7 linked regions of the Rattus norvegicus genome follow. The protein of the gene in region 3 interacts with the protein of the main gene of each other region in a biochemical or structural test. Links are inferred from orthologs where the notes say so. Each region holds a gene or a part of one and is shown on either strand. Other genes may lie near its edges. The genes, in order: Met, Pdgfrb, Grb2, Sos1, Blnk, Khdrbs1 and Dnm1.

Region 1 (3,500 bases), on a different chromosome or scaffold from region 3:
TTTAAATCTAAGCTCACCCATCCCGTCCCTCAGCATACCTTCTTCATCTCTGGATCTTGATAGAAATGCTTATTTTGATGTAGTGCCAATGACCAGAGCTTTAAGTTCGTTATATAGCTCAGATAAGACTCACCACAATGAAGGAGTGGATAGCAAGACAAAACTCAGAGTGGGGATTAAGCAACAGAAGGGGAAGGATAGAAAAATCAGCAAAAGGACCCAGTTGGACTTGGGAAGAAGAGAATCACCAGGAGAAAAATCATATAAAAACATCTTTATGCTCTGTGCAAATAAATGCAAAAGAACTTGGCTTGGCGTATTAGGCACAGATATTAATACAACCAAAAAGCGACAATACCTTTTTAAAGTACATGTTTTCCCTCCGATTGAAATGTGTCTAGAATTGCCGCTGTTGAGGTATTTTCCAGTCAAAGTGAGTAAGGTGCCTCCGGCATGAGGACCATACCTTGGAGAAATACTTGTTATTACAGGATCCTGAATGGGTGGCAAAACCAAAAAGGAACTGGTTAGCTCTATTCTTTATGCAGATGAAATAAAAAACCAAACATCCCGGGTCATGACTAAAAGCAAAGCTTGGACTTACCACATAGGAAAACGCACTGTACTGTGTTGTCTCTCGACTGTTTGAGACGATCACAGACACATTGAAGTGCTCACTCATCGCGGGGCCAACTGTGCATTTCAACCTGCAAAGAAAGAGCAGAGCTTAATATGTCTCAAAGCCACACGCATTTTCTGATTTTCTGGTTTGGCTGCTTGTCGTGATGGGACCATTAACTCCAAATTGTGAGCTCATGATTCCAAATGGTAAGCTCGGTTTCATGGAAGTCATAAGGCTGAAAAGTCATGTAATCCTATTTTCTGAATGGTGGTGCCAAACTTTATATCGACCATTGTAGGACCCTTCATAGGTCACCAGTGCAGACTCACCAGCTAAGAAGTGCATGATAACCTAAGTCTGTGAAGTTATGTGTTTGGGTGTTTGGCCCATGTAGCATAATGACTGCTGCTATGTCAGCAGCATGTGAAGTAATGTGCCAGCTACGAATAGAGTAAGCCAGCTCTCTTCACCAATTTATGCCAACAACTATATTTTCTACGACTGTAGTCGTCAGAAATCTATTTAAACCACTTAAAGGCTAATGCTACTGGGACAGTTTTTCTGTAAATTATTATGGTTGTGCCATGTTGGGGACACAAGAATGCATGTAGAAGCCAGAGGCCAACCTTGGGTGTCACTTCTCAGGGGCTGTCTACTTGGTTTTACAATGTGCTCTCTCTCTGGGACCTGGAGATGCCTGATAAGGCTAGACTGGCTGACCAGAAAGCTCTAGGAGTCTTCCTGTCTCTGCTTCCCCAGTGCTGGATTATCAACAGTGAGCACCACCACACTTAACTTTTTACTTGGGTGCTGGGTATTGAGCTTGGATCCTTATACTTGATTGACAAGCGCATTAGCAACTGAGGCATCTCCTTGGCTACCAATAGTGCCAATTTTTATCCGTAATCTTATATAGCTATATATATAATAAATATATATTTATATAATAAAATTTAAATATAATTTGTTTTTACAGACTTCTAAAAAGAGAGAATGAATTGTCCTTTTTCTTTATAGCTCTTAATTCACATTCTAATAATTAAGAGTTTTGGAGAACAAAGGGATGCTTCTAGAGTAAACTCGCTTTTGCCTTTGGCCTAGCAAGCTTGACATTGACTGGTTTTGGTGATTATATTAAGGTCCTTTATGATGACCATGGAATGGAATCTATATTAGATAATTTACTTTATAGAACAGATTCAACCATAATGATTCAACTGTTGAAACTTTGGTTGTTGCTACTGCACTCCAACAAGTAATCCCTGGGTTACCTGGTCACTGTGGCATTTAGGGATTTTAGAGGGAATGTGTAGAATACAGGAGACTAAGCACAGGTCTTGATCAGAGAACAGAGCGCTGATCTCTGGCTTCGCTCAGGTAGGCTGTACCCTAGTTCTCTTAACGTTAGGCAAGAATGGAACTGACACCTCCTAAGATGTGGGGGACACCCAGATGGCAGAGTGCCATGAATATGACCTGAATATACATTTAAGCTCATCTAAAGAGTCTAAAAAGTGCTTGCCACTGTTCCAAGGACCAGCAGGTGAATCATGAACAGAGGACAGACACCCAGCTGTTTACTGATGTTCATGAGAAACCTTTGTGGGGGGCAACGTTTGAGGTCTCAAGGGGAAGACCCAGTCTTTCAAACTGTACGGGCAATTTCTGAAGAGGCTTTACTTTAGTAGTTCAAACCTCCTAGATGCTGGCCCAGCGGGATGGAAGACCAATTACCACACAAACCTACTGGTCTGAGTTTGAGCCCTGGGACCTACACTGGAAGGAGGTAACCAAGTTCCTGAAGTCATCTTCTGGCCTCCACACACAATGCTACATGTGCAACTGTACCCACAGACACTCGCCAAACACCCTAAACTACAGTAATAAACACAAATATTAGACTCCAACTCTGTATAAAGATTAAATCGAGTGAACAAGTCTAAAAACAACTCATGGAAGCTGAATTGCTCTAGGCCATACCACCTTTTCCTTTCTCCTAGTCTGTTAATAAAATGAGATTACGAGGAGAAAACCAAACACGTCTTCAAATGCTATGACAGGTCAAGACCCTTGTGAATGCATAGATGAACATGTTGAACACTATTTTTTTTTTCTTCTTCTCAGAAAACCCAATTAAAGAACCCGGCCTATCTCCCAAGGCCACTCAGCAAAGTCACCATGCTCCTTACGTATTTGTCGTGCTCTCGCTTAAGGTCAAGGTACAGCTCTCGTTGCCAAGCAGAACTTTGGTTTTCCTTAAATCAAATTTATTATTCTTCTTGAATCCAAAGTCCCAGCCACATATGGTCAGCATTGTTCCTCCTTCGAGGGGTGCACTAGTGGGGAAAACCTGCAACGATAAACCCAGCAGACTGTGATCATTTTCCACATCGTGGAAACCAAGCAAATGGTGTATTGCTTTTTAATATTTATTTTAATCCTGAAAAAGTCACACACACGTGTTTCTGTGTGTGGCTTTGCGTCTGTGAGCACACTGACTATGGAAGCCGGAAGAGTGCATTTGTTCCCCTGATCCTGGCATTACATATGTAACGCGGGTTCTAGGAACTAAACTCAGGGCCTCTGTTGAATACCTTTCTGACTCTCTGAATCAAGCAATTTATGTCTACCAGTTTGTATTTCTTAATAAAAAATTTAGTTGCTTTAAATATGGTGAAACTTTGATCTAGAACCTACATGAAGTTTTGTAATAGTACAAATTAACACTCTCTTTCTGGCAAAAAAAAAAAATCTAAACTGAGAGATCCTCAGATCAGTATTGTAGTGATGTTTCTAATTCTACTTATCAACATTATTTTATGCCATTGTAAAGATGTCTTTCCTCAATGTGCAATGTTCAGTGATCAACAGGCTAACT
Region 2 (3,500 bases), on a different chromosome or scaffold from region 3:
GCCTTAACCCCCAGGGAGGAATGGAACTAACACATTGTGCAAGGGAATGGAGCAGTGTCAGAGAGGTCAGGAGCGCGTCCCCGCATTCTCTGTGTGTACCCTTCCAAAGTTACTCCTGTCTTTGCCTTTTAAATCAACAAACAACAAAACAAAAAAACAAGTATCCCTTTTGAAGTCATCAGAAAGAGTTGGATTACTGGTAGGGTACTGGAGAGGTTGGCTTGTAGAAGGCAGAGGAACTACGGCAGGGAGCCTGGCTCTCTGTCCCTTATGTCCTTAAGGCAAGAGAACAAGACACCTAGAACACAAGGATGCTCCATGGGTTCCAGGAGTCACATGAACAGAAGGCTTGGGATGGAGCCTGGCTCACTGAAATGGCACTCCCCCCACCCCCCATGACCATCATTACTATCCGGTCAGAGTGCTGCCTCTGGGAAGTGACTGCCCCAGGGCCCACACTTGCACCTTGGGACAAGGAGTTCCCATATGCTTGGCAGGCACTCACTGGGTGCTGCCTCCCCCATACCTGGGTAGGGAGAGCCCCACCGGCAGGGCGTTGCTGTAGAGCTCAGTGCTGGGTGGACAATGCTTGTTGGAGTGTCGTTGCAGGAAGGTGTGTTTGTTTCGGTGCAGGTAGTCCACCAGGTCACCATAACGGCAGTATTCCGTGATAATGTAGATGGGCCCTGCAGAAGGACAGGCTCAGGGACAGACTCTGAGGAAGGCCTCAGTCTTCCCAGCATGGCCACAAAGCCAATATGGAGTCTTGGTGGTGTGGAGACACAGCAAGACGGCAGAGATGCTGGCACCTTGCGGACCTGGGTTGCTTCCCTGCCTCTGTGGGTGCAAACAAGCTGCTAATCTCCAGGGTGCTTCCTTTGCCCATCTGGCCAGGGGCTGACACCCGCCCTTGACCCCTGAGATGCCTTTGAGGGCTCAGCATGTAGCAAGCCTATGATACCAGTTGCCGTGGCTGTTTTCAGACTGGTGCACACTTCAGATGCTGGTCTACACAGAGCAGGGGAACGTGATGGTTAGCACAATGTGCTGAATACACTTAAGTTCAACACACTTACGGCCATCTAACAGATGAAAACAACACTTTTGAAATATAGTCATTGCAGGCACAGCCAGCAGTCCGCGCACGATGTACTTCTGTATTTAGACTGATTACACAATACTGAGGAAAATCCCAGATCTCACAACAAGCAGCTGCAAAGGGCAATAACTTCATGATTATTATTATGTAGATAGCCCAGTGGGTAACCAGGCCCTCAAACAATCGCAGTTGGCAGAGTGACTTCCAACACTGATGCGAGCAAAACCAGTTCCTGGTTAGTACATGGTTCTGCTTGTCTCTGTGTTGTAGAAGTTGTTACTTTCTCGCAGTTTTCAGAATGTATTGTAGAAATATGAAAAGGGGGACTGGAGAGATGGTCAGCTGTTAAGAGCACTTGTTCATGACACCACCTTGGTTCAACACCCATCATTTACACAGTGGCTCACAAGCATCTGTCACTCCAGTTTCAGGAGATCCGATGACCTCTTCTGGCCTTCTCAGGTACCAGACACACACACACACACACACACACACACACACACACACACACACACACACACACACTGACATACAGACAAAACAAAAACAAAACAAAACAACAAACCCATTCACATAAAATCTAAGAACCTGAAAAAAAAATCTGAAAAGACTTGAATTCTAAAACTGCAGGAACTAGTAGCCTGAGGGATCTCTTCACTGTGAAGGTATTGTGAGTCGGAGATTCTAAAACTGAGCCCATCCAGGACAGTGAAATAAGAGCCCTGGGCGGCAGTATGTGGACACTCTGTTGGGGGTGTTCTGTTGTTGATGGACTGAGGGATAACAGGAAAGAGAGGAGCCCCAGAATCCTCCGGGGCATGGGTTCAGTACCTCCTTTGGTACAGGCCCCCAGCAGGTTGACCACGTTCAGGTGGGGTCCGAGATGACTCATGATCTTCAGCTCCGACATGAGGGCTTGCTTCTCACTGCTTCTGGCTGTAGCTGAGGGGGAAGAGGGACTCAGCCTGGGTGGGCCACTGAGGCAGTGTAGAGGCCCTGCCAGGGCCTACTCTGCTTCCTCTGCCCCACCCTGTTGTACCACTAGTGTCCTAGGGTGGACATAGGAGAGGGAAGAAGGTGGGAGGAGGGGAGAGAAGGAGGAAGCACCCAAAAAGGTCACAGTGAGGAGCCCTTCTGTCCCACAACCTCAGGACCAGGCTCCTTCAGAAGAAACTAAAAGGACAAGGAAGGGTAGGACCAAGTGAGATCCTGGGTGTGAAGAAGGGGTGGGTTACCTCACATTTCGAGACTCACATTTCAGCATCTTGACAGCCACTTTCATGGTGGCCTGTGAGTGGCTCAGACCATGAGCCGTGGCCTCCACCACCTGTCCGAAAGCCCCAGAGCCAAGAGTGCGTCCTAGGATGGATAGAACCCCTCAGCTCCTGGGAGCTGGATCCCTCATCCCATCTTTCTGTTTAGGTTGGGGAATATTCTCTTAGGTCACCTTCCACATCTGTCCAACCACTCTACTGTGCTCCCCCTCAGGAGGTTTCCCATCCTCTGGGTCTCCTCTAGATCCTGAATGCTATCTGTCTCCCCTGGAGTCCCTGAAAGACCTCCTGCCTCCTTGGGCAAGCCCAGCTCCTCTGTAACTGCCTCAGACCCCCCGGCCTACATCCAATACTTCCTCTTTGGCCTGGAGGAGTCCCATATTAACCTTGGGGTTCCAGGGCTTCAGTGCTATGGGGTCACCTTATCTTCACCACAGAGAAAGGATACTAAAACCCAGAGAAGGCAAGATATCAGCTCTATGTCTCAGCTAGTAGCAGCCACACTGGGAGAAGGTCCTAGTGTCCCCATTGCCACTTAACGCCTCTTAGAACTGACCCAGAACAAGCTGGTCCCGTGGCAGCTCCCAGGTGGAGTCGTAAGGCAACTGCACAGGATCCACATAGATGTACTCATGGCCGTCAGAGCTCACAGACTCAATGACCTTCCATCGGATCTCATAGCGTGGTTTCTGTAGGAAACAAGACCAATAACAGAGGAGACAGCCAGAGGGCATCTTTGGCCTTGAGCCTATCAGGTCCAGCCCCTTAGGTGGCAAATGAGACAGGAGACTCTGAGACCAAGAGAGGGCAGGGACGTATTTGAAAATGACACAACGGATGGCTAGCAAAACCAAGGCCTCCGTGAGCTCAGAGGCAACTCACTAAGGGGACTCAGGGGCAGAAAGTATGGCTGAGAAACCCTGAGGACGCAGCCTCTAGACAGCAACTGGCAGCATGGCCCACACTCACTAGAGCTGCTTTACTAGTTTCTCTCTGAGCCCCAGTTACTCCTCAGACGGAAAGAGCAGGTTACCCAGAAAGCGACATATGATAGGACAGATTCCAAATGCCTACTCTGTCTCTGTGGGGTCTCAAAAGGACACAGCCTTTGGATGTGGAAATCTTAG
Region 3 (3,997 bases):
GTCTCAAAAAAATTTTTTTGGATAAAAAAATTTTAATTGGCAGGTTTCTTTTTTAAGATTTATTTATTTATTTATTATATATGAGTACACTGTAGCTGTCCTCAGACACATCAGAGGAGGACATTAGATCCCATTACAGATGGTCATGAGCCACCATGTGGTTACTGGGAATTGAACTCAGGACCTCTGTAAGAGCAGTCGGTGCTCTTAACCACTGAGCCATCTCTCCAGCCCTTCCTTAATTGGCAGGTTATGTCTATACATACAAATTTTAAGAATCAAGGCTAAAATGAGGAAGCACTAAGCAAATTTTAAAATTTGCATTTCAGTGCACTACGTCTGAACAAAATGAAAATGATGTATGTTAGACTTGGCACAACTCGGGAAAATCAACTCTGACAAACACAGAAGAATAAATCTCAATAACCGTGGCCAAAGGTGTAGGCCTCTGAGGTCAGCAGGTAACGACACCAAATGCCTGTCCGGGAGTGGCAGCTCTGTCTTGCTGTCTCCTAATTCATAATTCTCCATAAGGGCTGCTGTATACATGCGACATAACAGAAATCATGGAAAAAACCCTCAGTACCAGTGAGTAGTGCTTAAAACTATTGGACTAGAGAGAATAGCAACTCAGGCTGTTAAAGAACACCGACTCCTCTTCCAGAGGACCTGGGTTCAATTCCTAACACACATATATATATGGCTGCTCACAACCCTCTGTAACTCCTGTTCAAGGTATTTGTCCTCCTTTAGCCTCTGACAGCACCAGGCATGCACACGGTTTCCATACATACATGCAGGCAAAACTCACTCAAGCACATACAAAATTAAAAATCATTTTAAAAAGCCTGGTTAGGACTATATCATTAGTCAGGAGAGGAAGGTGGACTTAATTCACAAATATCCAAAGTTCTCTTCTATTTCAAGCTATCTTACTTCACAAACTCCACGGATGATTTCTCATTTAACAATAGTTGACCTCGGGGTTGGGGATTTAGCTCAGTGGTAGAGCGCTTGCCTAGCAAGCACAAGGCCCTGGGTTCGGTCCCCAGCTCCGAAAAAAAAAAAAGGGAGGGGGGGAGTCTTTCAGCTTCCAAACTGGCTCAAAATCTTCCTTACTAACAGAGAAGAGAAACAGGAGAGAGAAAGAAGGAAAATAGTAGGCACAAAAGGATACCTTGTGAAGAAAACACCAAAATACAAATAGCACAAGCGAACAGGCAAATCCACTTGTGATCTGATGGCACTATCGATTACTTAGCAATGAATTCAGTCCTTTGGGTTTTCTAGTTCCCAGGGGGAGAACTTAAACCCCCTCAAGCACCCCGATGGCTCCTTAGTAGCCCTTCTGGCTGGCTGAAGAATACAGAGGACAGTCTAAAAGAAATGCAAACGGGGCTGGGGATTTAGCTCAGTGGTAGAGCCCTTACCTAGGAAGCGCAAGGCCCTGGGTTCGGTCCCCAGCTCCGAAAAAAAGAACCAAAAAAAAAAAAAAAAAAAAAAAAGAAATGCAAACAAGGGAAGGTATCTACCCCCCCCAAAAAGGGGATCTTAGAACGACTGAGAAAATTAACAGTGCTCAAACCGGCAGAAACTTCGAAAATTATAGCGGAGGAAGAACAAGAAGGGGAAGTAGATTATTTTCTAAAGGGGGTGGAGGCGCCAATGACTGGCGTTACAAATGTACTTCGTGGGGCTGGAAAGATGCCTCAGCGGTTAAGAGCACTGACTGCTCTTCCAGAAGTCCTGAGTTCAAATCCCGACAACCACATGATGGCTCACAACCATCTGTAATGGGATCTGGTGTGTCTGAAGAAAACTACAGTATACTCATATACATAGAATAAATAAATTTTTTAAAAAAATGTACTTCGTGTCCCTAGTGGAGTGGAATAGAGACTGAAAGGACAAAAACTGCAGGGCAAAGTGAAAGAGAGGCGAAGAAGTCAAAAGAAAGCCAATTTCTCTAGCCTCTTTTTGAATGTCAACACCATCAAAAGACGGACGTTGAACGCGCCTCGGCTTCCCGGCAAACTGCACTGCTATATAGCTTTTGAAGACACCCTAAAAATCACTTTCTTACAAACCCACACAACCTAGAGCGTTGCAAACGGACATGAACCAGCGGGGCTCTCTCCGCGAAAATCCTTCCTGCCAGCATTCCCATCAGCTGCTGCTGTTTTTCCCCCCACAACAAGTATTTTTTTTTCTCAAGTACTTCTACAAAAGAAGCTCCCAACTCTCGCAAAGACCAGTCGGTGGGTCCGGGTAACAATCATTCTAAGTCATGGTGGATTCCCGCACACAATTCGACCGCAAGATGCCAAGAGACGGTGACGTGGTTGCCTTGCAGGTCAAAGGAGCATCAATCACCACGTTAGCAGCCGGCACCGAATCCCCCGCCTCCCGGGCTCAGTCAGCCTGACTCAGAGCAGCACCCTGTGCCTCTCGGCTGCTCCGGGCTCCTCTGCGCCCAGCCGGACGGCCGCCACACCGGACCTCAATCGTCGGCTCGCCCGGTCTCTGCCCCGAGCGGGAGGAAGACCGACACCAGGAAGGAAGCGCCCCAAAAGGGGAAACGAGGAGACGGCTGCGCAGCCGCTGCGCTCCGGTCCGAGCCTTCCCCGACCCGCGAGCGGCCCGCCCCGGCAGCCCGGAGCAGACCGGGCCCGAGCTGCCCGGCGCGGCGCGGGGACGACGGAGCCCCCGCTCACTTCCCGCCCGCTCTCCTGCACTCACCGCGACGTGCCGTCCGCTCCCTCACCCGGCCTGGCCCGCCTTGTGCTGCCGCCCGCGGCCGCCAACCTCACTGCTGCTCCCTGACTGCGGCGCCCGCTGCCCAGACCGCCGTCCCCCGCCGCAGCTTGGCTCGCCCCGCCGCCGCCCGATCGCAGAAGCAGCAGAGCAGCCTAGCTTCCGCTCCTCGCCAGGGTCCCGCGAGAACTTCCCCACGCGGCCCCGCCCCGCCGCGCCCCGCCCCCGCGAGACTTTCCCCGGCGGAAAAGGCCCAGAGCGCAAGCGCTCCTCCTCCGCTCCGCCCGGCAGGTAGCCTAAGGGGGACTTCGCGCATGCGTCAGCTCGCCCCGCAGCAGGTGGCAGGGACTCGGCTCCGCCCCTGGGCCGTTGTAACCCTCTGCGTGCCGGAGCAAGTGAATTACAGCTCTGCTCTAGCGGAATAGCGCTTTCCACACTCGAATAGCGTTCTTTCTATCGAAGCAAAGCAAAGAGGCCTCGAGGAGGGGTCGAGGGGCGGCAGATCTCAGGATGGTTCGACCCAAATAGAGGACCAGATCTAGAAATGTTTGGGAATCTGGTTCGTACAACCTGCAGTGTTTGATGAACTGTTTGATTAGTCCGTTCACCGAGTGAACTACATACCTACTGTAGGTAAACACTGTGCTGGGTAAAGAAGATGAAACGACGAGCAGAGATCCTGGCCCTTAAGCGATTCAATCAATCGAGAGAAGCACCAGAAGAGTAAACAAGTAATGTCTTGGGCTGGAGAGACCTCTCAGAGGTCAAAAACAAAACAAAAAACAAAAAAACAAAACAAAAACGCTTGCTGCTCTTCCAGAGGACCTGATTTCAGTTCCCAGCACCCACATCCCATGGTTCACAACTGTCTGTAACCCCAGCTCCAGGAGATTTAGTGCCTCTGGCCTCTGATGGCACCGGCATTCACCTGCACACACCCTCGTGCAGACACACACACACACACACACACACACACACACAAACTATAACACTTACACATAGTACTTTGGGGGAATGCTGAGGAAGCCAAAAAGATGGAGAAAGGCTGGCTCTGTTCCTCTGCCCACTGCATAAAAGACTTAACAAAGAAGGTGATGTGCCGCCGAGTGCTGAGGGTGAGTAGGAGTTGCACAGCACAGGAGCCAGGGTAAGCCCATAGCCGGCAAACGGAATAGCACAGAAGAACAGAGGGATGGATGGAGGCGTGAGAAAGTCGTGTTCTGTGCCATGCAAAGTACATAGA
Region 4 (3,500 bases), on a different chromosome or scaffold from region 3:
CTAATTATGAATTATTTCTGTCAAATACAGTAGCTTAAAAATTACAGAAATGTTTTAGAAGCAAATTGTAAATTTTACAATATATAAGTAATTAATAAATTTAATTTTTAATAGAAAAAAGAACACCTTGCTGCACTGAGGTAAAATTCATAGGATGAGTTACTCTAAACACTCTAAGGTTACTCAGGGCCAAGTCAGTCCCTGCAACTGCAGGGCTGCTGTCAATCCACAGGCTCATTTCTTTTAATTGAACTTGTATGATTTTTCCTTTGTTCTTTTCATAAAAATTAAGCAAACCATATGAGGATAAAGCAAACAGGTTTTAAATTCACAAGGATTTACAAACAAAGGCAACGTAGCAGGATAGACAACCTGACCTTTTATTGTTGAGAAATTACTTGAAAACCATAGCAAAGTACTGTTATGTGTTCTGATTTTAAACAGTGTAGGGAAGGCTGATGGTTGTGTGGATAGCTAGTTCATAGTTACTAAAGACTGTAGCTCTTTAAACAGCTTTGTATGTAACAAGAAAGGTAATCTATTTACCTTTTATGTAACTACTGGGCAGCTTCCATTTTCTTTTAAAAATTTTAATACTTCTTCATTCTTGAGTAATAAACACCCTGACTATAGTCCCTGGGTGAGAGTTTATAGTAACCCAGAACCCCAGACGAGGCTTCGCAGACTGCTCAACGTGCCCCAGCCCCTGTGCGCGACCACTGAAAATGTAAGTCAGAGAGGCCGAGTGAGTCACTGTAAGAACTCACAACTCACCTTTGGAAAACACTGTCGATGTCCAAAAGCTAAACAAAACTAAACTCTGGCTTATAGACCAGAGATGTGTAGATAATGGCAGCTACATTCAAAAGTGGTTTTAAATCACTAATAAAAAATAGTGCTCAAGTTTACCTGCTCTCCCTTTGGTAATTCCAACCATATGAAGCTCTTGTTATTGAAGGGAAGGCCTTGTTAAATGACACTGTTTACAAAGTGGGAAAACTAATGGCTGTTTTTAAAAGGCCAATCTCACTAGCACCAGAATAGATTCCAAAGGAAACAGAACTCACTTAGAGGACATTTTAAAAGCGGGAAAATAAATATTTTCCGCAGAAACTTACACTTCCTAAAAATAGGACTGTATTTAAATGAGAAGAATGGGGATAGAGGTTAAATTTCACATTCTAGTATCTAAGAATACCATATTATAATTTTAAACACACATTTCTTTTAAAGAAAAGAGTTTGAAAATTTCCATCTAAACTCAGAAATAGCTTTCACATCCAGTGTTTCGTGTGTGCTTTCTGACAACACACTGTGGTATACATTTGATGTTAATGTTTGAGAAGAAGACTATGGTTCTGGGATGTAACGGGAGCCTGATAGGTGACAGAGCAAAGTGTGAGCTCAGTGCTATCTGCTCCACCCCAATTCTGAGATGACAGTTATCAAACTCCCCACTATGTGTCAGACCATGTAAGATGGCGTAGTATGCCCTTTACCTCTCAACCACTGTATTTAATTCTACCTAGCATCCTTCTAGGTTTTCTCTAAAACCTGTTAAGGTAACCGTTTGCATCAGTAACATTAAGAACAAAATACTGACAATGTGAATGGCCTCCAGGCCTCCCCAAAGGATGGAGGGATGGAGAGTAAGAAATACGTGTTTCTGCCACCAGCACAATTTTGATGATGGGTAAATATTTGATGTTTTAGTCTGTAGCCCAGTTATAAAATAAGAAAAGAAAATACAGGGGTGGAAACCTTTAGACAATCACATTGATGCTTAGTTTTCTTTCTACTGCTTTTTACTGGGCAACACCAGACAAGTGACCATTTCTCTTTTGTAAATATGATAGAAAAGGTAAAAGCTTCAAAGAGAACAGAGTGAAGGTTTAGCCGACTCCTCTACGTGAGAAGGATTTGCTTGCTGTTAGTTTTCTACCTCAGGCACAGTGACCCACCCGTGGAGTCAGTCAGTCAGGAAGCAGCCTCCCCCGAGTCTCACCTGCGTACATGTGGTACGTGAGCCTCTCAATCAGCTTAACCACTGTCCCTGCCTTGATGATGGGGATGCCAGCCTTGGGCTGCACGTTCTCTTCAAACAGAATGTTCTCCTCAGAGTCGGGCTCTGCAAACCTGTACACGTCAGCACTCGGCAGCCTCATGTGCTCCTCCTTCTCCTCCTGCAGCATTGTAACGTCCAGCATTCTCTCCAGCGTGCTGCGGTACTGCAGGGATATCAGGGCTGCCATCCAGTTATTCTTCTCTTCAGCTGACTTGGCAGAAAATATAACACTATTTCCATCCTTCAGAATTATTTCGAAAGCGTGCTTGTATTCACTGGTGTCATCCTTATCGTTAATCTGTACCTTTCGCATAAAAAACTTTTCTTTAAGCCGATATTCTGCATTGCTAGCACCAGGAAGTCTTGGCTGCCCATGATTTGATTTACAGCAAATCATTAAGCCATCGAAGAGAAATATGTGTCTCTCGTGTTTGGCTCCTACACGTGTAAGAGTTCCTTCCATTATAAACTCATTGCAGCATTGTCCAATGTCTTTCCCCTCCCAACCATCAATGTTCTTCTGAATCTCATTCATCTTCTTGATGGCCAGTTGTTTCCCCTTCATTTGCTGGCTGTAAAACCGACATGCAGACTCACTGGGGTAAAGGAAAAGATGCTATTAGTACACAGAAGACAGACTTTATATAGAGTTCATGCAGATAAGGTGGCAGGGTAAAAGACAACTTAGAACATCACTGACATGTGTTTACTAATTCCCCAAATAATACATGTAATTACGCACCTATAAAAGCTAAAACAGCACAGAATTTTTCAGAGTTATAAAAAGAATAGTGATGTTGAACTATATAAAGTCAGGTACAAAACAATTATCTCTGCCTTGAATATTAAACACTTAGAAAGATAACTATAAAAAAGTAGCCCAACACAGTAAAAAAAAAATGAGATATGAAAGCAAATTGTAAGTGTTTTTAAATGCACAAGACCCAGAGATAGAAGCACATGTTACAAGGGGAAAGCAGATCTGCTACCTGCATCAATGTCTGAGTTATACAATCCCCAAACTAACCAAGCCTACGAACCTGCCTCTGACATAACAATGACGCCGGCAGATCTGCCCGGGACACTGCTCTGTCCCCTTCAGCTTACCAGCCGCTCCTCGGGAGGCCTTGTCTGGGAGCAAGCAGGGAAAATGCACAAATATGAAAGGTTTTTCAAACAATAACAAATTCTCCTGGCTTTGATGTCACTTCCTCTGAGAGACCAAGCTTGTCACTAACACCGTTTTCTTTATTGTTTACTCAAGGAGGGAAGCTAAGGCCCCTGAATTTGTACCACAACTTTCAGGATAGAAAGGAAGAAACTTTAAAATGGGAATATTTACCTCAGTCTTCGTTTTGCAAGATTTTTGGAGCAAATTTTTTCCATGCCACTTTGGACATTAAGCAGGGCTGTTATTGCTTGTTTCATACACTCC
Region 5 (4,074 bases), on a different chromosome or scaffold from region 3:
GGGTGCCTTGGGAGACTTCCATCCTCACACTGAGGATCTCCTACACACACACACACACACACACACACACACACACACACACACACAATCCTGCCTGTGTTTGCTTCCTTGGTTCACTCTGCTTCTCTTCCTGGTCATCCCTCTGCTTCCAGTCTCTCTCGAGACCTGGACATGTAGCCCCTGGGTCTGGGTCATTCCACTGAGCCCCTTTCGTGACTAGAATACTCACTGTATGGCTTTATTACAGCATTGCTGTTTGCCTGGCTTCATTTTGATCACACTCCTCTATAGGCTTTGATGGGTTTGAAAGACTCCAAACACCACATTGCAATCTGGAGCCAAGTAACTCTCTGGGCAACCTTCTAAACTGCTGTTGACCAGTCAGGAGAGGGCACACAGTCTCCCTTTTCACTTCAGTGTCTTTAACTCTAGATGCTTGGGATCCTTAAGTTCCTTGCACGCCCAGAACCTGTGCCTTCAGCTTCCCCTATGCAGTCCGTCCTGTTCATTCTGTAACAGAACAAACGCTGCCCAACCCTCCCCCGCCCCCCTGCTAACTTCTCACCAGGTCACCTATTTACAGAAAACATTTTGGGTGGTGTTTTGAGTTGTTTCGTTTACAGTCGCATTTCTTTGCAATCTGACTGCACATCTCATCAAAATGGGCTGAGTCTGGGCAGACAACTCAGTAACCAAGTGCAGGAAAACGTTGCTTTGCTCTCAGCAGATGGGCGTAGCATGTGATTATCTGCAATATAATTTTGGCCGTCTAGCCTATAATATGATTACATAATGCCCACCACCCACTCCATGATTAGACTGGACTTTGTCCCATGGGGGAGGGATCCTAAGGTGATTAAAATTCTATTGCTCTCTTTGTTTTGACTCTCATCTAGGTTCCCTGGAGCACCTTCTGAGGCTCTGGGCGGCTTTAGGTTAGGGACCGTTGGGACCTCTGCTCAGAGCAGCCCCTGCACGAGACCTTGTCAGTTCTCTGCCACATCTGACCGCTCCCTGCATGTCCCTCCTCACTGCTGTGCCCCTAACTCTAGACGCTTGGGATCCTAACATTCCCAGCACCCCCAGAACTCGTGCCTTCAGTTTAACCATGCCAGTTCTCTCTCTAACAGCACAAACACTGCCCAACTCTGTATGGTTAGACACCACCCACCTCATTCTTTTCAGCTGGCCCCACCAGACAGGACCAATGTCCCAGGGCCCTCTCACCCTATACGTTCCACTCCATGGCCTCTGCTGGGCAGAACTTTCCTCGCTAGCGCACATTTGAGACTGCGCTTACATCAGATTGTGCATGTGAGCTTGCAGCCTCCTCAGCGTGTAACCTGTCCCCCCAGTTCTCCGTCTGCTTTTTCTCAGCTGCCTCTCAAAAGCTTAACTCTTAAAGCATCGTCTTCATGAAAACTTCTCTGCAACTTATTATTTCCACTGTTTCCTCTCCACCCCTCCCCTCCATGAGATGCCCAGCAAAAGACGTAGGGTGCCTGTGGGACCTTCTGACTTCCATGTTAAGGACTCTGTGGCTCTCCTGGGCATGCTCTATAAAATGGCTGACCAGCCGATGCTGCCCTCTGATCTGGACCCCTTAGTACATCTCAGTCTGCCTCTTACCAAACCCCTTAGAGTGAGAAGACCCACATGCTGCTGTGGAAGACTGTCCTTCTACCAACTCTATATTCTTTTCTTGTCATTTGTCTCAGAATCTCCAGTTCTCCAGCTCCTAAGTATGACCTCATGAAAGTCCAAAGTTCCAGTCTGCACACGGAATATAACACGTCCTTAAACATTTTGAGTTCTGGCCTCAGAAAGTCATCATCAGCACCACTCCAAAAGACAAAGTTCTCCAAACTCAAAAATTGGGAAGTCGTCTTTGCATGGTCTCTTGACTTGTGACTTAGGCCACTGCTGGCTTATTCTTGTTAGCATATATGTATATTTTAATTGCCAACGCTGCCTTTAAAATGATTGTTGTTATCATTAGTATATGTGCATGTGTGAAATGTGTGTGGGCATGACCAGTCAGGGAATGCGCGTGCCAGGCAGTGAGTATGGAGTCAAAGGCCAGCCTTGTGGAGTTGCTTCTCTCTTTCCATTTTTATCTGGGCTGTGGGCATAGACCTTAAGTCACCAGGCCCGCATGATCAGCACTTTGTCCAATGAGCTAGTGGACTGGCCCTTAAGCACTTTTTAAAATAGATAGTCATGAGGGTTTTAGAAAGGCCTGTGGTTCCCCCAGTAAACTTAGGATGAACATCCACAAAACAAACAAGAGACAGTGACTGACAGTGACCACACATGCTCTTCACGCAGTGCACAAGCCCTTCCCCCAGCAGCATCTTATTCAGACCCAGAAAGCTGACTGTGGGTAGCATGTGTGCCATCAAATTTTCTATCTTCTTGCCTTTCCAGAGCTTCACCCTTTGTCCTATCGCTGGCAAAAACCCAGCCAAAGCAGGTCCCTTCACTCTTCCTACACATTTCTTTAAAAACCTGACCTACTTCCCTATCGCCACTGCCAACCAATTCCTCGGAACTGGTCAAGTATTCCATGGTTTTGGTACCTCTGAGCCCTTGGAGGAGCACTAAAGGGGAGAGAAGAGGAATACAGATCCAAAGGGAAACTCTTACCTCAGCTTCTGACTGGCAGGGACAGTTATTTTATTCAGTTTGTCCATTTTTCTTGAGAGGGGCTGTGGAGTCGCTGTCCAGAGGGATGTCAGCAGCTCCTGGGCTTCCTGGGGAGCAGCATGGTAAGACTCTGGCCTCAAGGGCTCATGCCACTGGAACTGACTTCTGAGAGCAACCGCAGGCTGCTGGCAAACACCCCTACACAGGGGAAGTAAAACTCGCTGGAGCACATCGCCAAGTTTCGTGTTTCTACGAGGTCATGTGATCCAGCGAGTCAGCCAGCCTGGATGATTACTGTGCGTTGTGTAAACTTCAGTAGTGAAACCTTATTGGGCATGCAAATCCCTTTTCAGCAGCTCTCTTTTATGATCAGGTTTGTTGCCAGGTTGGAATAAGCTTCTGGTTGACTGAGCACGACTTCCTGTTTGTCCCAAACCTTAGGTAGTCCCTGTTTTCAGCAGATGGCCAGAGTCATCCTGCCACTTCTCAGGTACCAGGAAAAGCTGAATAATCGATGATATCTGGATGACTGTTGGGGGCTTTCTGCTCATTTGCATAAAGCCGTGAAGAAGCCTTTTCTTCTTAGATAACAGAGACACGAATTGGACAGCTCTTGGAGCCAAGGTCACAGCAGTGGTCATTTAAACTGTGATGGGTAATTCTTTGTGCGAGGTCAAGGTCACTCAGGGGTAGAGATAGGTGACTCCATCCTACGCTATGTGGAGTCAGGAGTTGCCTCGTCAAAAGCTTGACATTCTTAAATAAAGCCAAGATATACTCAGAAGTCAGCTGAGAGCAAACCCAGCAATTTCCAAGCACATGACATCAGGAAGATACCTCCTAACTCCCCTCGGCGTCTGTGGCCTCTCATCAGACCGAACATCATGCATCCCACACCTGCCGCTGACCCCATCCAGACAGCTCTGCTGCCCTCCTCAAGAACCCCCAATTCCTCTGTCTACTCTGCAAGCTTCTGATTTAGCTGAGTTAAAGAGCAGAAAGCAGTCTAGGGCTAAGAATTTTTTTAAAAAATGAGAGCGGGGTGTTCTTTCTCCCCTTTTTACCCGAACACCCCCACCCCAACTCCTGTCACCTGGCATGTCCTGGTCACCTTTGTGAAAGGAGATTATGTTCCAAACTTTATCAAAGGACCATTGACCTGGGTCTAAAGAATGCATGGGAGTTGGGGGAACAAAGTAGAGGGACTTTGGTTATCTCTCATGTTATAGCTACAAGGCCTGGCTGAAGAGAAAGTGGGAAGGCGGACCAGGCAGAGAAGGGAGGACAGGAGATGGAGAGCAAAAGTGGATTTCTTCTCCCCTGGGTTCTTTGTTCAAACAGAAGTCCTTCTATCTTTCCGAATCCTTGACTGTTCTCATTCCTGCTCTATATCTGAATTTCCCATTCTTCAGGACGTCCGAGAGCTGA
Region 6 (3,500 bases), on a different chromosome or scaffold from region 3:
GATACACAGTGGGACACTGTATCTCAACAGCTCCCAAATAAACCTCCCAATGTTTGCTTGCATAGCATCCGTATCAGGCACTGGACAACTAGAAGGCATTCATTTGAACGTACCTTGGCTTTGTCTCTCATCGAACCCTTCCCCAAGACAGAGATCTTTGCACCAGTCTCTTCCTGGAGTCTTTTGATTGTATTTCCTTGTGGTCCAAGAATCTTCCCCACAAAATTGAACTGTCAGAAAATTAAAAAATAGAATTCTAATACACATGCCTCTATAAAAATGTAAATATATGTAACATGCCATTTGATCTTCAACAACCCTATAAAGAATCTTTTTATGTATGAGATCCCAATTTTACTCAAGATATAGTATACCTAGTATTTAATAATTAGTGATTAGCTTTAATTATATAACTAGAAGTGATAGTTCCTATCCCTGAGTTTAGATTTCCTGATAAAGTCTTGTACTCTTTCCACAACTTACTGCAACTATTAATACTGTTACATAAACATATAACATGCATAAACTCTTTTTATTAGTGATCATACTCAGGCTTCCTACTTCTGATTCAGCAGAACAAATATACCTACCTCATGGTAGCATGTATGGTAAACTAAAATCTAGCTACTTTCCTTTAAAAAGAAAGAAGATAAACATTTTTAAAAAATTTACATTTATGGGGTTGGGGATTTAGCTCAGTGGTAGAGCGCTTGCCTAGCAAGCGCAAGGCCCTGGGTTCTGTCCCCAGCTCCGAAAAAAAAAAAAAAGAAAAAGAAAAAAAAAAATTTACATTTATTTACAAGAGGGTGTGGAGTGCACCAGAATGGAGCACCAATCAGGTAAGCCACACAGGTGGTCAGGATGTTGGTTCTTTCCTACCATATGGGTTCTGGAAATCAAATTTAGGTCTTCAGGTGTGGTGACAAGAACTTTTACCCATTGAGCCATTTTTTTTTTTTTTTTTTTTTGGTGGTTCTTTTTTTCGGAGTTGGGGACCGAACCCAGGGCCTTGCGCTTCCTAGGCAAGCGCTCTACCACTGAGCTAAATCCCCAACCCCGAGCCATTTTTCAAAACCAAAAGAATCTACTTTTTTACTTGGGTTTTTTGGTTTTTTTTTTGGTTTGGTTTTTGAAGGCAGAGTTTCTCTGTGTACCAGAGGCTGTCCTGGAACTCATTCTGTAGACCAGATTGGCCTTGAACAGAGTTCTGCCTGCCTTGTGCCACCATTGTCTGGCAGCAGCCGCTTCTTTAAAAAAGCTAGTTCTTGGGGGCTGGAGAGATGGCTCAGCGGTTAAGAGCACCCAACTGCTCTTTCAGAGGTCATGAGTTCAATTCCCAGCAACCACATGATGGCTCACAACCATCTGTAAAGAGATCCGATGCCCTCTTCTGGTGTATCTGAAGACAGCTACAGTGTACTTATATATAATAAATAAATAAATCTTTAAAAAAAGCTAGTTCTTAGGAGACTGGAGATGGCTCAGGGGTTAAGAACACTTGCTGCTCTACAAGAAGAACCAGGTTAGGCTCTTGGCAACTACATGGTAGTTTATAACCATCTGTGCTTCCAATTCCAATGCATCCCATACCCTCTTCTGCCTTCCTCAGAAACTAATCACACATGTTACATGGACATACATGCAAACTATTCATATGCATTAAATAAAAATAAAATTAACTTCATTTGATTTGAGGATATGTTATATTTTATTTGATTTAAATTCTGAGTCACAGGCAGAAAAATGGCTCATGGCTATTATCTGTTGCTTTTTCAAAAGATTTGGATTCTGTTCCCAGCACCCACAGAGCAACTCACAACCACCTGTAACCCTAGTTCCAGGGACATCTAATATACTCTTCTGGCTTCCTTTAGCACAAGGCATGTACATGGTGCACATACAATACACATGCAGGCACTTATACATAAGATAAATTCTAGCTCAATCTTTTGATAAAGGGATCCAGATTTTTACTTGAGGCCTAGAGCCTGAACAAAACATAAGAAAAAAAATTATTCTTGATTACTAAAGTATCTATTCCCTTCACTATAATTACGTTATAAGTTATGGACTTTGCTATTTGAACTCCCAGAAACAGGTACCTCAAGCACCAGGAAGCTTTACAGGTGGATGCATGGCCATCCCATCCCATCACAGCCAACAGCATATCAGCCTACAACATCAACTCAGAAGTGAGCCCCCTTCCCATTACCTTTGGATACTGCTTGACAGGGATCAGTACCCGCTCTTTCAGCTTCATGTTCTTATGAGAAAATAAGTCCAAATAATTCTCCTCGTCATCTTTTTTTGACTCTCCCTTCTGAATCTTCTCAATTTCTGAATAAGAGAAACAGAACTTAATTTCTGTACTTATAAAGTCATCTGGCAAGACTGCTTAAAGCATTATTGTGAAGTGCTGTGGAAAAACCAAACAGTTCAGACAAAATGTGCTAATTTTAGATAGACTGGATGAGGCTCCCAAAGCTGTAGGAAGTTCACTATGGGACCTGAATCCTGTTTCCCACTCTCACCAGAAGTGTCTACACCACTCGTTTACATGTTTCTTGCCTTACGAGAACATGTACTGGCCAAGCATTGGTGGTGCACACCTTTGTTCCCAGAACTTAGGAAGCAAAGGCAGGCAAATCTCCCGGCCAACCTGGTTTACAGAGCAGGTTTTAGGACATCCAGGGCTACAGAGAAACCCTGTCGACAGGAGAAAAAACAAAACAAAATTTAAAAAAAAAGTATATATGTATGCATTTATATAAATTAATGCAGTAAAGTAGGAAAAATTTTTAAAAATTAGGATAAATCAAAATCTTTAACAAGAAAAAAAAATACAAAGAGGACTAAGAGATGCCTCAGACATTAGGAAGCCACACTGCTCTTCCAGAAATCTTGAGATCAGTTCAGTACTCATGGCAGAGTGACTTTCAACCTCCACTATGGCTGCTCCAGGATCCAAAACAGTCTTCTGGACTCTATGGGCATGGGCAAGCACAAAAATTGAAACTAAAACAAAACAAAAAAAAAATTTATTTATAAAGGCTGAGCTGGGTACAGTAGCTATTTCCAACTAATTGATCACAACTCTGCAGTTGTAGAGGCAGGGGGGATCCTTGGGCTTGCTGACCAGCAGTCTAAATCAGTGAGCTCCAGGTTGAGAGAAAGACTCTCTCTTGAACTCTTCCCCCCCCCCCCCCCCCGCCCCCGGAGCTGGGGAGCAAGCGCTCTACCACTGAGCTAAATCCCCAACCTCTTAAGACTCTCTCTTAAGAAATAAGGTACTGCCAGTTGTGGTGCTGAAGGAGGCAGAGGCAGGAGGATCACGAGTTGGAGGCCAGCCTGGGAAACACATTTGGGCTGGAGAGATGGCTCAATGGCTAAAGCACCGACTACTCTTCCAGAGGTCCTGAGTTCGATTGTAAGCAACCACATGGTGGCTCACAACCATCTGTAATGAGATCTGATGCCCTCTCCTGGTGTGTCTGAGGACA
Region 7 (3,500 bases), on a different chromosome or scaffold from region 3:
TCAAAGGCCATGTCTGGGGTAAACAGCCCCGTTCTGAACGCCCGGAGCAGGAGAAGGGCACAGTGTCACTGGCTGGCACTTGTCAGGAGTGCCAGGCCAGGGTCCCTCTCCAGCCCCTGTGCCTGGGGGGAAGAGTCCTCCCACTACCCTTTCTGAGCCTCAGTGACCCCAACTTGTCAGTGGGTTGGGAAGTTCTACTGAGAGGTTTTCCATCAGTGATCCTTGGGCTAGACAACTCTGAGTCTCTCCCGTGTACCTTTTGCTTCCTCTTAAGAGTTGCTGTGAAAGGTTCTATAGCCTCAGACTCTTTGGAAAACCAAACCGAGGCCTCCTTAAGAGCCATTCTGAGAACTGAGCTTTTCTTCTTTTTAAGAGTAGGAGGGGAGGTCTTCCAACTAGGCCAACGTAGTTATCGCATTGTAAATTTCATGCCAAGACATAGCACAGAACCTAAGGAGGAGCACGGGGCTCTCCTGCCTGGTTCACAGGGGTGTCAGGTGAGAGTCTGGGTCCCTGAGGGAGGGGGGTGGGTGTCCAAAGAGCAGTCGGTATCCCCCAGCCTCCTTTATGCACCAACGGGTGGCTTAGGAGGAGAGTGGGTAAAATGGGGGGGGGGGTCCTGGGAGAGTCTAACAAATTGAAAACTCCCTTCATAAAGTGATGTAGAATGATATCTGGGTGCTATGTAATCCTACCCTTTGCTCAGTGTCCTGGGTGGCACTGGACAGAGTTGTTGCACCCATCCCTGTAGAGTGCTTCCTTGGACACCTGTACCCTGTGCCTCCAGGCCACTCTCCCAAGGACAGCCAAGGTGACCAGTGGATTGCACTCTACTGAGAGCCCAAGCCTCCCAGCCACCTCCCTTAGCTGCAGCCTGCTGACCTAGGAGCCAGAAAGTGGGGTTAAGGGGTTTGAAAACCAGGACTCAGGTCTTTACTGCCGGAGGCTCCTTCAGGCCCCGTGCCCCTTGCCTAGCAGGGTGCCGGCCCCACCCTGGTCCCAGTACATGCCTGATGCCATGAATGTTCTTGATAGCGTAGCTGATCTCCCTTCGCAGTTCCTTCTCATCAAACTCCATCTGCGGTGAACAGACAGAAGGCTGGTCAGTGTCAGCCCTGCTACTAGGAGAGACACTACTACTCCTAGAGCCCTGCTTCTAGAGAGAGACAGGGCCTACTCTCCTGCCTGGGACTGCAGGGACCTACCTTAACCAGCTCAAAAGGGAAGCGTTCGTGGAAGATCCGGTTAATGCGGGCTCCACCTGACAGTTCATAAGTGTCGATCTGGTCTCCAGAACCCTCAATGCGCTTCTCGAAGTCCACTGCAAACTGCTGGACCATCCTGTGTGGGAGAAGGGCGTGGCCTGAAGATGCAGAGGAGGGAGCCCTGGGCCCTGGAGTGGGGGAGGGGGGGCTGGAGTAGTTCAGCCCCGGGGACTGGGGCCAGGAGCCTTACTGCAGCAGGGCCTTGGTCTTGCGCGCTGGGTCATCCGGTCGGAAGTTCTTGTACTCGTCCACCTCCTTCTCAATGGACAGCAGCTGGCTCTGCAGTTTGTTCCGAAGTCCCGGCAGCGTGTCCCGGATGTGGTTGGTCAGTTGCTGGGCGTGGTGAGGAAAGGAAAGGTTAAAACCAAGGTCACAAGCTTAAATGTCCACAGGCCTAGGCATGGATGGGGAAGGAGGGGTGCCGGGAGGCTGTGTGGATGCGGTGAGGCGCGGAGCTGAGGAGGACTGGGCCAGCAGCTGTCCAGCAGTGGTTCTCGACCTTCCTGGTGCTACGACTCTTGAATACAATTAATTCCTCCTACTGTGGTGACCCCCCCTCCCCCAACCATAAGATCATTTCTGTTGCTACCTCACAATTGTGATTTTGCTTCCGTCGTGAACAGCAATGTAAACACGTGATACAGCAATGTAAATGCATGATACGCAGGATGTCTCATGTGCAACCCCTGTGAAAGGGTCATTCAGCCCCCAAAGGGGTTGTGACCCACAGATTGAGAACCCCTGCGACAGCAGGCAGGCCAGGAGCTCTGCAGGTGCTCCCAGAGATGAGCTATCAGAATCAATATGCCATAGCTCGGTTTCTGACAGAAGCCAGGAATCTGCGTCGATACTTAAAGCTACCTAGCATTGAGTGATTGAATGTTTTGGGTACCAGAACACAAATGTACTTAGGCATGGAAGGCTGAAGGACACCCCACCTTGCACTCCTCCGGGCTCCAATTATCTAAAGGTAAGTCTCAAGTTCATGTGTTCAAGTCTGCTAGGTTTGTCTATACCCTATCTGCATGAGCCATCGTGGGGACACTAAGGGGCAGGGTCTGGTCACTACTGTCCTCTTTTTCAGAAAGTAGTGTTGCAAAGGGTGAGAATGGGGCAGAGAATGGAACCCAGGTCTATGGTAGTCTTGACTGCCCCCTATACACACTCCAAAAGGGAGAACATCCCAGGGAAGCCTCTTGAATGTTTGCGGTTCCTGGATCAGCCTCTCTGGATCCTGACAAAAGGACCAGGATGTCCAGCTGAATATTCCAGCAATCTCTAGTCAGTGCCGCCATCCACACAAAATCCTGGTCTTCTATACATGCTGCGAGTCCTGAGGCTCCCCTCCACATCCCAGACAGGAAAGGTCAGCCAAACCCTGTCACTACCTCCCCGTGGAACTGGGGCAAGTGGCTTTCCTTCCCTGGATCTAGGTGGTTCTGTACTGGGTGCTAATCTATCTTGGTCATCCTTAAGATGAACTGAGATAACGGGGCTGGAGAGCTCTGCAGTTAAGAGCATCCAGGTTTGATTCCCAGCACCCTCACGACAGCTGAAAACCATCTGTAACTCCAGTCCCAGGGGGAGCTAACACTGTCTTCTGACATTCTCGGGCAGTGGACGCAAACAAAGCAGCCATACGTATAAAATAAAATAAAACTTCACAAAACCAAAACACAAACAGAAAAAGATGCATCTGAAGTTACTCTTGTTTTCCCAGGCCCGGGCCTGGCCTGCCCCCCTACCTGGTTGAGGACCTTCTGCAGGTAGGGTGTGCCCATGCGGTCAGCCAAGTGGCGGTAGGATGGGTGGGAGAGGAAGAATTTGCGCTCGGCAGCCAAGGCGGCTGTGATATCCTTCTTGCCATCTATGTCCTTCTGGCTCCGGTTCACCACGCCAATGTAGCCTATGCGGTACGGTCAAGGTCAAGGGTCAAGGTCAAGGGTCAAGGTCAAGGGTCAACCGGCCCCTCAGGAAGGGAGGTGTGGGGAAAGCCTGCCCTTTGCCTACCTCTGCGCAATGGGAGCAGCTTGTTCTCCAGCACATCCCGAGCATCTGTGCCCTCGTCCATCAGGTCCAACTTGGTGATGACCCCAATGGTGCGCTGACCTGCGAAGTGAGGATTGTCACAGCGGCTCTGGTCTTCATGTATCTCAAACCTTCCACGCTGCCCCCCTCATCCCCTGTCCACTCCCTCCCCACACAGCTGCCCCTCTTCAGTGATCCGAAGCAGAC

What was found.
Region 1: the proteins of Grb2 (region 3) and Met form a complex in vitro, tested with the Homo sapiens proteins (3 studies listed by BioGRID and IntAct, with this or other methods). The link is inferred for Rattus norvegicus from reciprocal best matches to the Homo sapiens genes GRB2 and MET.
Region 2: the proteins of Grb2 (region 3) and Pdgfrb form a complex in vitro, tested with the Homo sapiens proteins (2 studies listed by BioGRID). The link is inferred for Rattus norvegicus from reciprocal best matches to the Homo sapiens genes GRB2 and PDGFRB.
Region 4: the proteins of Grb2 (region 3) and Sos1 form a complex in vitro, tested with the Homo sapiens proteins (15 studies listed by BioGRID and IntAct, with this or other methods). The link is inferred for Rattus norvegicus from reciprocal best matches to the Homo sapiens genes GRB2 and SOS1.
Region 5: the proteins of Grb2 (region 3) and Blnk form a complex in vitro, tested with the Homo sapiens proteins (3 studies listed by BioGRID and IntAct, with this or other methods). The link is inferred for Rattus norvegicus from reciprocal best matches to the Homo sapiens genes GRB2 and BLNK.
Region 6: the proteins of Grb2 (region 3) and Khdrbs1 form a complex in vitro, tested with the Homo sapiens proteins (3 studies listed by BioGRID, with this or other methods). The link is inferred for Rattus norvegicus from reciprocal best matches to the Homo sapiens genes GRB2 and KHDRBS1.
Region 7: the proteins of Grb2 (region 3) and Dnm1 form a complex in vitro, tested with the Homo sapiens proteins (5 studies listed by BioGRID and IntAct, with this or other methods). The link is inferred for Rattus norvegicus from reciprocal best matches to the Homo sapiens genes GRB2 and DNM1.

What each region holds. Positions count from the first base shown.
Region 1 is NC_086022.1:46,822,823-46,826,322, reverse strand, and holds part of Met (hepatocyte growth factor receptor), read right to left. Parts: intron 2,973-3,500; coding exon 2,812-2,972; intron 708-2,811; coding exon 605-707; intron 496-604; coding exon 359-495; intron 1-358. UniProt on the Homo sapiens protein: Receptor tyrosine kinase that transduces signals from the extracellular matrix into the cytoplasm by binding to hepatocyte growth factor/HGF ligand. Regulates many physiological processes including proliferation, scattering, morphogenesis and survival.
Region 2 is NC_086036.1:56,797,848-56,801,347, reverse strand, and holds part of Pdgfrb (platelet-derived growth factor receptor beta precursor), read right to left. Parts: intron 3,063-3,500; coding exon 2,930-3,062; intron 2,459-2,929; coding exon 2,354-2,458; intron 2,042-2,353; coding exon 1,931-2,041; intron 687-1,930; coding exon 527-686; intron 1-526. UniProt on the Homo sapiens protein: Tyrosine-protein kinase that acts as a cell-surface receptor for homodimeric PDGFB and PDGFD and for heterodimers formed by PDGFA and PDGFB, and plays an essential role in the regulation of embryonic development, cell proliferation, survival, differentiation, chemotaxis and migration.
Region 3 is NC_086028.1:101,445,339-101,449,335, forward strand, and holds the start of Grb2 (growth factor receptor-bound protein 2), read right to left. Parts: upstream 2,801-3,997; 5' UTR 2,740-2,800; intron 1-2,739. UniProt on the Homo sapiens protein: Non-enzymatic adapter protein that plays a pivotal role in precisely regulated signaling cascades from cell surface receptors to cellular responses, including signaling transduction and gene expression.
Region 4 is NC_086024.1:20,327,617-20,331,116, reverse strand, and holds part of Sos1 (son of sevenless homolog 1), read right to left. Parts: coding exon 3,408-3,500; intron 2,662-3,407; coding exon 2,006-2,661; intron 1-2,005.
Region 5 is NC_086019.1:249,767,734-249,771,807, forward strand, and holds the start of Blnk (B-cell linker protein), read right to left. Parts: upstream 2,801-4,074; 5' UTR 2,694-2,800; coding exon 2,647-2,693; intron 1-2,646. UniProt on the Homo sapiens protein: Functions as a central linker protein, downstream of the B-cell receptor (BCR), bridging the SYK kinase to a multitude of signaling pathways and regulating biological outcomes of B-cell function and development.
Region 6 is NC_086023.1:147,359,949-147,363,448, forward strand, and holds part of Khdrbs1 (KH domain-containing, RNA-binding, signal transduction-associated protein 1), read right to left. Parts: intron 2,338-3,500; coding exon 2,213-2,337; intron 231-2,212; coding exon 114-230; intron 1-113. UniProt on the Homo sapiens protein: Recruited and tyrosine phosphorylated by several receptor systems, for example the T-cell, leptin and insulin receptors. Once phosphorylated, functions as an adapter protein in signal transduction cascades by binding to SH2 and SH3 domain-containing proteins.
Region 7 is NC_086021.1:36,029,290-36,032,789, forward strand, and holds part of Dnm1 (dynamin-1), read right to left. Parts: intron 3,375-3,500; coding exon 3,276-3,374; intron 3,172-3,275; coding exon 3,011-3,171; intron 1,599-3,010; coding exon 1,456-1,598; intron 1,342-1,455; coding exon 1,206-1,341; intron 1,079-1,205; coding exon 1,011-1,078; intron 34-1,010; coding exon of another isoform or gene 1-33. UniProt on the Homo sapiens protein: Catalyzes the hydrolysis of GTP and utilizes this energy to mediate vesicle scission and participates in many forms of endocytosis, such as clathrin-mediated endocytosis or synaptic vesicle endocytosis as well as rapid endocytosis (RE).